Coturnix japonica: one gene and its partner. The protein of the gene in region 1 purifies or fractionates together with the protein of each later gene. This does not show direct contact. Links are inferred from orthologs where the notes say so. Each region holds a gene or a part of one and is shown on either strand. Other genes may lie near its edges.

Evidence for each region.
Region 2: the proteins of PLA2G4A (region 1) and S100A10 purify together in Homo sapiens (affinity purification with western blotting; 3 studies listed by BioGRID). This does not show direct contact. The link is inferred for Coturnix japonica from reciprocal best matches to the Homo sapiens genes PLA2G4A and S100A10.

What each region holds. Positions count from the first base shown.
Region 1 is NC_029523.1:8,858,337-8,862,151, reverse strand, and holds part of PLA2G4A (cytosolic phospholipase A2), read left to right. Parts: intron 1-1,869; coding exon 1,870-2,112; intron 2,113-3,815. UniProt on the Homo sapiens protein: Has primarily calcium-dependent phospholipase and lysophospholipase activities, with a major role in membrane lipid remodeling and biosynthesis of lipid mediators of the inflammatory response.
Region 2 is NC_029540.1:2,466,889-2,471,426, forward strand, and holds S100A10 (protein S100-A10), read right to left. Parts: upstream 2,984-4,538; 5' UTR 2,860-2,983; intron 1,044-2,859; 5' UTR 987-1,043; coding exon 855-986; intron 668-854; coding exon 506-667; 3' UTR 468-505; downstream 1-467. UniProt on the Homo sapiens protein: Because S100A10 induces the dimerization of ANXA2/p36, it may function as a regulator of protein phosphorylation in that the ANXA2 monomer is the preferred target (in vitro) of tyrosine-specific kinase.

The DNA of each region.
Region 1 (3,815 bases):
ATGACTCTCTTGTATGCCATTAGTCTTAGCATACACCCAGCAAGGCTTCACAGTGATCTCCACTTTCATGTACATTTCATTTACATCCAAAAATCAGACTTTCTGAGCCAGTGATCTCCTGAAGTTCAGCAAGCTGCTGAGCTCAGAGGCATGCTTGAATTGTTAACAGCATAGCAAACAAGAACTACCCATTGTTATGAAGGGTTCCTTATCAAATATTTACTTGAGAATGTTTTACTTTGTGTTTCCAGTATTCACAGATATCTTCCAGCACCTGTACAAACAATATCTGGCACAGGAAATTCCTAGTGGCTGGCGTAGTGCTTTAAGCAGTGCCCAAATCCAGTTTCCCAGAACAAGCACAGCCACATGTGGTAAAAAAGATCCTACTGAAAATTTCAGGAACCTGAACCACCTGCGGATGTCTGAGATTTTAGTCTGGGTACTGGTCTTATCCTAATAACATTTTCTGTTCATGAAGACACTTCTAGGGATAATAGTGATTTTTAATCTGAAAAATTGAATTATTTTTTAACAACTTAAGCAAGGATGGGAATGTGGCTCTCTGTGCTCATTTGTAATTTTAAAGTCTGCAGGAAGAAAAGAAAACCCAATCTTTGATTGGGTCACTAGCTGAGCTGAATGATTGCTTCTTCATTTCCCCTTATGTGTAAAATAACAGGGAGCGTGTGATGCCACTTTTTATACTACAGATTTCCTGTTAAGTACTAGAAGCTCTGTTTAAGCCAGCAAGAAACACTACATTTCTTTCATAGTTTGTAGCCAAAGTGGAGGAAACCTATAGATCTGTTCTCTGTGCACCTGGTTATCTTCTATAGGATATCTGTCGATGGATATTGGACGTCAGAACTCTGTGGTGTTTTATGTTTGTTTTCTTTCTACTTGTATAAAGAGCCTGAGCCTGAGTTATCTCCATGTATAAAGCAATCGAAAAGCTGAGTTATGGCAGGTTTTAAGTGTCAGGTCACACCAGTCCAAGTCATTTTAGCGTTTATAACGTCTAGATGTAGATATCAGAGTTTGGACAAAGATTGTACTACTTAATTAAAATTAAATATTGGTTATTGAGTGTAGTTTAGTGAATTTATATTTTCAGATATTTTAGAACTTCTGTGTGATAGCATTCTCATTTATGCAGATATCACAGAATTTTAATTTAATGTCTACAGTTTTATGCACACTCCCATATTCACTGACATCTAAGTCTGTGATTGTCTGCAATAAAAATGAAACAGAAATTACTTCTTTTTGAGCAGAGGCCACCCAAAGCCATCATAAATATTGTATCTCTACCTGAGAGTGTTATTTTCCAAGGACACAGTAAAGGGATGTGCTAAGAAGAACCATACAAAGATTTTATGAAGATTCAGAGGCCCAGCTTTGTTTCCTTAAGGAAAGCTTGATTTCTAGCAGTGAGCAAAGGATGAAGGAGGTTGTCAATATACATCCAAACCAATCTGAGTCCACAGTATACATGTATTGGTGACTCAAGTTTGTCGCCTGAGTCCAGGACAGGTAAAGTCATGTTTTCAATTGCTTTGGCCATCCAGACTAGCTAAAATACAGCTCACATCATCTAATATTCCCAGCATGTTTTCCTGTTGGACATATCCACACTGTAGTGCAAATGAGAACATTTGCTGACTTGTGAAGGTGAGAGCATGATTTCTATCCATTATCTCCATAAAGTGGTTGCAGCAGAGCTCCTTCATTCAATCCATGGCTCTTTGAAAGGAGGCAATGGCCTAGTTTTAATCGGTCCCTTATTTTAAAAGATGCAGAAATTTTGGTTTAGAACTTCACACATTAATTATATCACCACTGATTTCTTTTCTTTGTCCTTTACAGGCACTGAAAATTCAGAGGCAAATGAAGAGTATCAGAACAGCAGCCAAGAAAGCTGGGTGCAGCGAATGCTGATGGCTTTGGTGGGTGATAGTGCCCTTTTCAATACCAGGGAAGGGCGTGCTGGGAAAGTGCACAACTTCATGCTGGGATTGAACCTCAACAGCTGTTACCCACTGTCTCCTCTGGCAGACCTTATGACTCAGGAATCTGTGGAGGAAGACGAACTAGATGCAGCTGTGGCAGGTTAGTTTGCAGAAAGCCTGTGTTACTGCATATTCATTGGTTAAACTGTGATTTCCTCAGTGTGGTAACATTTACTCAAACTGCAAGGCTTACAGCTGCCCTTGAACAAAGGTGGGACAACATTTCTCTATAAGCAGTCATGAGTACCGACCAGTGCTGAAGGTTGTCAGATGACAGGGTGTCACAAACAGCACTGCGCAACGATTTCTGCCTGTCACCTACTTCCTGAATCCCCTGACAAGCTCTATAGCACAACTGCTGGCATTTCAGCTCTTTGTTTTCAAGGAGATGCTGACCGAGTTGATCAAGCTGCTTTTGTGTACGGCACCCTTCATTAAGGCTGCTTCTCACTCATTTGGGCTGCTCTAAGGAATGGTCTATGTTCTTTTCACCGGTTAAGCCTTTAGATAGAAGTAAGACCTTATCTTTCTACAGTGCTTTTCTGTGGCTTCTCTGACACCTTTGTCTTCCTCTGACAATCCTGTGGAGGCAGTGCACTTCTTATTTGTACATCCTTGCTTTCCTGACTCCACATTCCTCCCAGTGTGACTGATTTGTCATACCTGTCTGCATTTCAAAGAACAACAGAGATTGGAAGGGACCCCAAGAGATCACTGAGTCCAAGTCGCTTGCTAAAGTAGTCACCCTACAATAGGTGGTACAGGTCAGCATCCAGAGTGGGCTTGAATATCTTCATAGAAGGACTCCACAACCTCTCTGAGCAGCCTGTTTCAGTGCTTTGTCACTGCAAAGAAGTTTGTCTGCATGTTAGTACAGAACTTTCAAGTTCAAGGCTTAGGCCATTATTCCTTGCCCTGTTACTACACACCACTGAGAAGAGCCTGGCCTCATCCATTTGTCTCCCACCTCCCTTTAGATATTTATTAACATTCATCTGATCCACCCCCAATCTTCTTTTCCCCATGCTAAACAGACAGTGGTCTCTCAGAATTTCCTCACACAGGAGATGCTCCAGGCCCTTCATCGTCTTTGTGGCCCTCCACTGGACTCCTTCTAGGAGATCCCTGTATATTTTGAACATGGCGCCCAGAACTGAATGCAGTAGTCTAAATATGGCATCGTCAGGACAGAGCAGACTGGGAGGATCACCTCCCTCAAGCTGCTGGTCACACACTTTTTAATACACTGCAGGATATCATTGGCTTACTTGGCCAGCAGGGCACACTACTGGCTCATTGGCCAACCTTTTGTCTACCAGAGCACCCAGGCCCTTCTCCACAGAGCTCCTTTCCAGCAGATTGGCACCCAACCTGTACTGATGTATGTGGTTATTCCTCCCCTGGTGCAAGACTCTACACTTGCTCTTGTTAAACCTCATGAGTGTCCTCCCTGCCCAGTTTCATCTTTTCGTAAGCAGGAAGCAAGCATGCTGGTGGAAAACAAGAATGTAAGAAAAAATTGATTTGCAGAAGTTGTGTAGCATCTTTCCCCACTCCCCTGCATGAAATACGTGGTGCATAGGACGGTAGGTGCAGAGAATTAGGTATCACATTTGATTAGCATTTTGAAGACTTCCTATAGGCAGTGTTAATTACACTCTAAACAGTGAAAGCCTCTGAATTTCTGAGTATTCTTTAGTCTCTGGTGCACTTTTTTTCTTCCTTAGTAGACAACAGAGCATTGCATTATAAATGTGGTTTTCTCTATAGAAAAGTTAAGTCACAGTCAAGATACAGTGCAGA
Region 2 (4,538 bases), on another chromosome or scaffold:
TTGGGGATGGAAAGACTCAGCAGAGGATGGGACTTTCGGTTGCTGATTTAATGGGGATGATGGGCGATGGGCAGCCCCACAGTGATGGGTTGGGATGGGAACCCCACAGCAATGGGACTCGGTTGCTGATTATGGGGATATGGGGACTCAGGACTGACTAATTGGGATATGGGGTTGGGAACCCCACAGCACAGGGGGTTTGGGGATGAGAACCCCATGGACATGGGGACTCAGGGCTGATTATGGGGGATATGGGGATAGGAACCCCACAGCGAAGGGGGTTTGGGGATAGGAACCCCACAGCAATGGGACTCAGTGCTGATTATGGGGATATGGGGATGGGAACCCCACAGCGATGGGGATCTGTGCCTGGGATTCCCATGGCGATGGGGACCCGGTGCTGACGGGGATGCAGGGATGGGAACCCCCCAGTGATGACCCACCCCAAGGCAGAGGCCACAGCAGGGTCATACAAAACACTTTATTGGGGCGGCGGGGCCGTCTCTCACTTCCTCCCCTTCTGCTTCATGTGCACCACGAAGTAGTCGTTGCAGGCGATGGTCAGTCCAGCCACCAGTGAGAAGAAGCTCTGGAATCCCACTTTGCCATCCCGGCACTGGTCCAGGTCCTTCATGATCTTATCCAGAGCCATGGGGTCACGCTGGTTCTGGGGGCAGAAGCGGGTCAGCACCTCATAGTGTGGTAGGTGCTGTGACCCCACTGTGCCCCATTCCCCTCCTCCAGGTTATAGAACCCTGGGGTAGGTGTGACCCTGCTCTGTTCCCCACCGCCTCAAGGTATCCAGCTCTTATAGGGCTGTGGGGTAAGTGTGACCCCACTGTCCAACCTCTCACCTCCAGGAATCCGGGGAACTCCTTCTCCATCAGGGCACGCAGGTCCTCCTTGCTCAGGTAGTTCTTGTCACCCGCATATTTGTGGAAGGTGAACATCAGCGTCTCCATGGCGTGCTCCATTTGGGATGGCATGGTGGCTGCTGTGGGGTCTGTGGGGTCAGCAGGGTCCTGTGAGGGTCTCAGTGGGGTCTGTGGGGTCAGAAGGATACAGTGGGGTCTAAGGTGTGGGATCAGCAGAGTTGGAAGGGTCCAGTTGGGTCTCACTGGGGTCTGCGTGGTTTAGTAGAGTCTAAAGGGGCTGGAAGGGATCAGGAGGGTCTGCAGGTCTGCATGGGGAGAAGCAGGGTCAGAAGGGATTTGTGGGGTTCCATGGAGCTTCAGAGGGTCTCTGTGGGGCGTGTCAGGCATCGTGGGGTGTGTGGGGCTCCATAGGGTGTGTGGGGCTCCACAGGGGTGTGTGGGGCTCCATAGGGTGTGTGGGGCTCCACAGGGGTGTGTGGGGCTCTATAGGGTATGTGGGGCTCCATAGGGTGTGTGGGGCTCCATAGGGGTGTGTGGGGCTCCATAGGGGTGTGTGGGGCTCTATAGGGTGTGTGGGGCTCCATAGGGGTGTGTGGGGCTCCATAGGGGTGTATGAGGCTCCATAGGGGTGTATGAGGCTCCATAGGGCGTGTGGGGCTCCATAAGGGTGTATGGGGCTCTATAGGGTGTGTGGGGCTCCGTAGGGCTCTATAGGGGTATATGGGGCTCTATAGGGTGTGTGGGGCTCCATAGGGGAGTGTGGGGCTCTATAGGGAGTGTGGGGCTCCACAGGGGTGTGTGGGGCTCCACAGGATGTGTGGGGCTCCATAGGGGCGTGTGGGGCTCCATAGGGGAGTGTGGGGCTCCATAGGGGAGTGTGGGGCTCCACAGGGGTGTGTGGGGCTCCATAGGGTGTGTGGGGCTCCATAGGGGCGTGTGGGGCTCCATAGGGTGTGTGGGGCTCCATAGGGTGTGTGGGGCTCCGTGCCCTCCGTCCCATCGTGGTGACTCAGCTCCGGGCAACGGCCGCGAGGCGGGGCCGGGTGTGATGTGCTGCGGTGTCCCTCCTCTGAACCCCCCCCTCCAACACACACACCCCGCCCCGGTCTTCCCTATGGGACACCCTCGGGACCCCCCCGCCCTGGGCACACTGAGTCACGGCGCCTCCTCCCAGGGTGGGGCCCCTCCTGGATTCCCTACAATCGTGGATGGGGGGGGCACATCCCAAAGCTGCTCCCCCCCCCCCCCACTCCATTGCAGGAATGGAGACTCCACCCTGGGGGTGAGGCGTTGGGGTGTCCCTCCGGCTCAGCTTTAATGCTTTGGGGAGGGGGGGGACACACAGTTTGGTTTTGGGGACCACTCCTCTATACCTGCAAAGGGGGAAGAGGAAAGGGGGAAAAGGAAGGAGGGGGGGGTCCCACCCCAAGTGGAAAATAATGGCAGAGTCCCAACCTTTGCATTAAACTCTCCCCTGTTCCAACAGCCCCCAAATAAATAAGTAAATAAATAGAAATAAAGCTGCAGCATCTCAAGGGGGGGTGGGGGTGGATCCTAAAGTTTATGGGGTGATGGGATAGTGTATGGGAGGGGGGGGGGAAAGCAAATCTTATGGGGTGATGTGCGGGTGGAAAGCCCTCAAAGTTTATGGAGTGAAGGGGGAGGGAATGAGGGGGACCCCGAGCTTTGTGGGGTGATATGGGGTGAGGGGAAGAGCCGGGACCTCCTAAGAGGGGGGGGTGCAGGATGGGACCCCCCCCCTCCAGATGGAGGTTATGATGGAGCAGGGTTACTGCTATGGAGGGGGTGGGACGGGGGTATCCTCTATGAATAGGGCTTCTCTCTAAGGGTGTAGGGAGGTCCTCTATATAAAGGGTCCTCACCCCATTGCGGGTCAATGCCTGGAGGAGCTGGGTTCCAAGGGACCCAAATGAGGCGGGGGTCCTATGGAGAGGTCCTATGGAGGGGGGGGGTCGGTACTCACCGCACGGCGCAGACCGGGGCACTGCGGGGCGGTGGCACCGCCCGGGATAGGCACGGAGGGGGCGGGACCGCCCCGGGGGGGGGACCCGGGGGGGGCCTGGGGCTGACTCAGTCGCTCCCGCCCGCAGCGCTCAGCCTTAACCCCTTCCTGCCCGGCCACTATCAGCCCCCCCCGGCCACTATGTGTCACCTGAACGCGTGTCCCACCTGGTGGCTCCTGGGGAGGGGAGCACCGCTGGGGAGGGGGCGCCTGGGGACGAGGCCGCCTTTGGGTACAGGCCCGTCCATCCCTAAGATCAGGGCCGTTCTTAGGGACCTGGCTCAGGGATGTGGCCCTAACCCCGGGCACGGGGCTGCACTTGGGGACAGGGCCACCAAGGAGCTGTGGGCACTGAGAGCTGTGAGAAACAGCTTTGGGGACAGGAACGTACTGAGGGACCGACGTGGGTTTCTTTTGGGGACACGGCCATTACTTGTAGGGACAGGGCTGCGCTTGGAGTCACGGCTGTGTATGGGGACATGGAGGACAGGAGCACATCTGGGGCCATGATCACCTATAGGGCCAGCATCACCTATAGGGACAGGATCACCTATAGGGCCAGCATCACCCATAGGGACAGGATCACCTGCAGGGCCAGGATCACACTTGTAAGGACAGGATCACCTGTAGGGCCAGGATCACCTGCAGGGACAGGATCACATCTGTAGGACCAGAATCACCTATAGGGCCAACATCACCTGTAGGGCCAGGATCACCTGTAGGGCCAGGATCACATCTGTAGGGCCAGGATCCCCTCTAGGGACAGGATCACCTGCAGGGCCAGGATCGCATCTGTAGGGCCAACATCACCTGTAGGGCCAGGATCCCCTCTAGGGCCAGGATCATATCTGTAGGACCAGGATCACCTATAGGGCCAACATCATCTGTAGGGCCAGGATCCCCTCTAGGGCCAGGATCACCTGCAGGGCCAGGATCATATCTGTAGGGCCAGGATCCCATCTGCAGGGCCAGGATCCCATCTGCAGGGCCAGGATCACACCTGTAAGGACAGGATCCCCTCTAGGGCCAGGATCACATCTATAGGGCCAGGATCACATCTGTAGGGCCAGGATCACACCTGTAAGGCCAGGATCACCTGCAGGGACAGAGCCATGCAGGGGGACAGGGCTGCACATGGGGCGATGGCTCTCATTGGGGCAGGGGCCAGTGACCCCCTGAGAGCAGCCCCGATGCCTTTGGGGCTGAATTCACCCCCATGATACTGCAGGTGCCCTCCATCACCTCTATCTGCACCCAGTATCTGGCAGCACCCAGCAGGCGCTGTGCCACCACCTGCCCACGCAGACACGGCTCAATTAGCGCAGCTCATTACTGAAGGGCTGCTCTAATCCCCCCCCCAATAAAAAACGCCCTGAAGTGAAATGGGACCTGAAATGAAATGGGACCTTTATGGGGCTCTCCCGGTTCTCAGCCCCCTCCCCCCCAGGACCACCCTTACCCCAAATGACCCCCACTCCCCACATCCCAACCGCACACCCCAAAGGCCGCCCCAAAAGCTGACCCTCTCCCCCCCATTACCCCCGCCATCCCCTTCCATCTCCTCGCTGCCCCCTCTCTGTTCCCCTGTCCCCACTCAAGATGGCGGCGCCTCCTCACACCCCCTCCCGCCCTCACCCAAC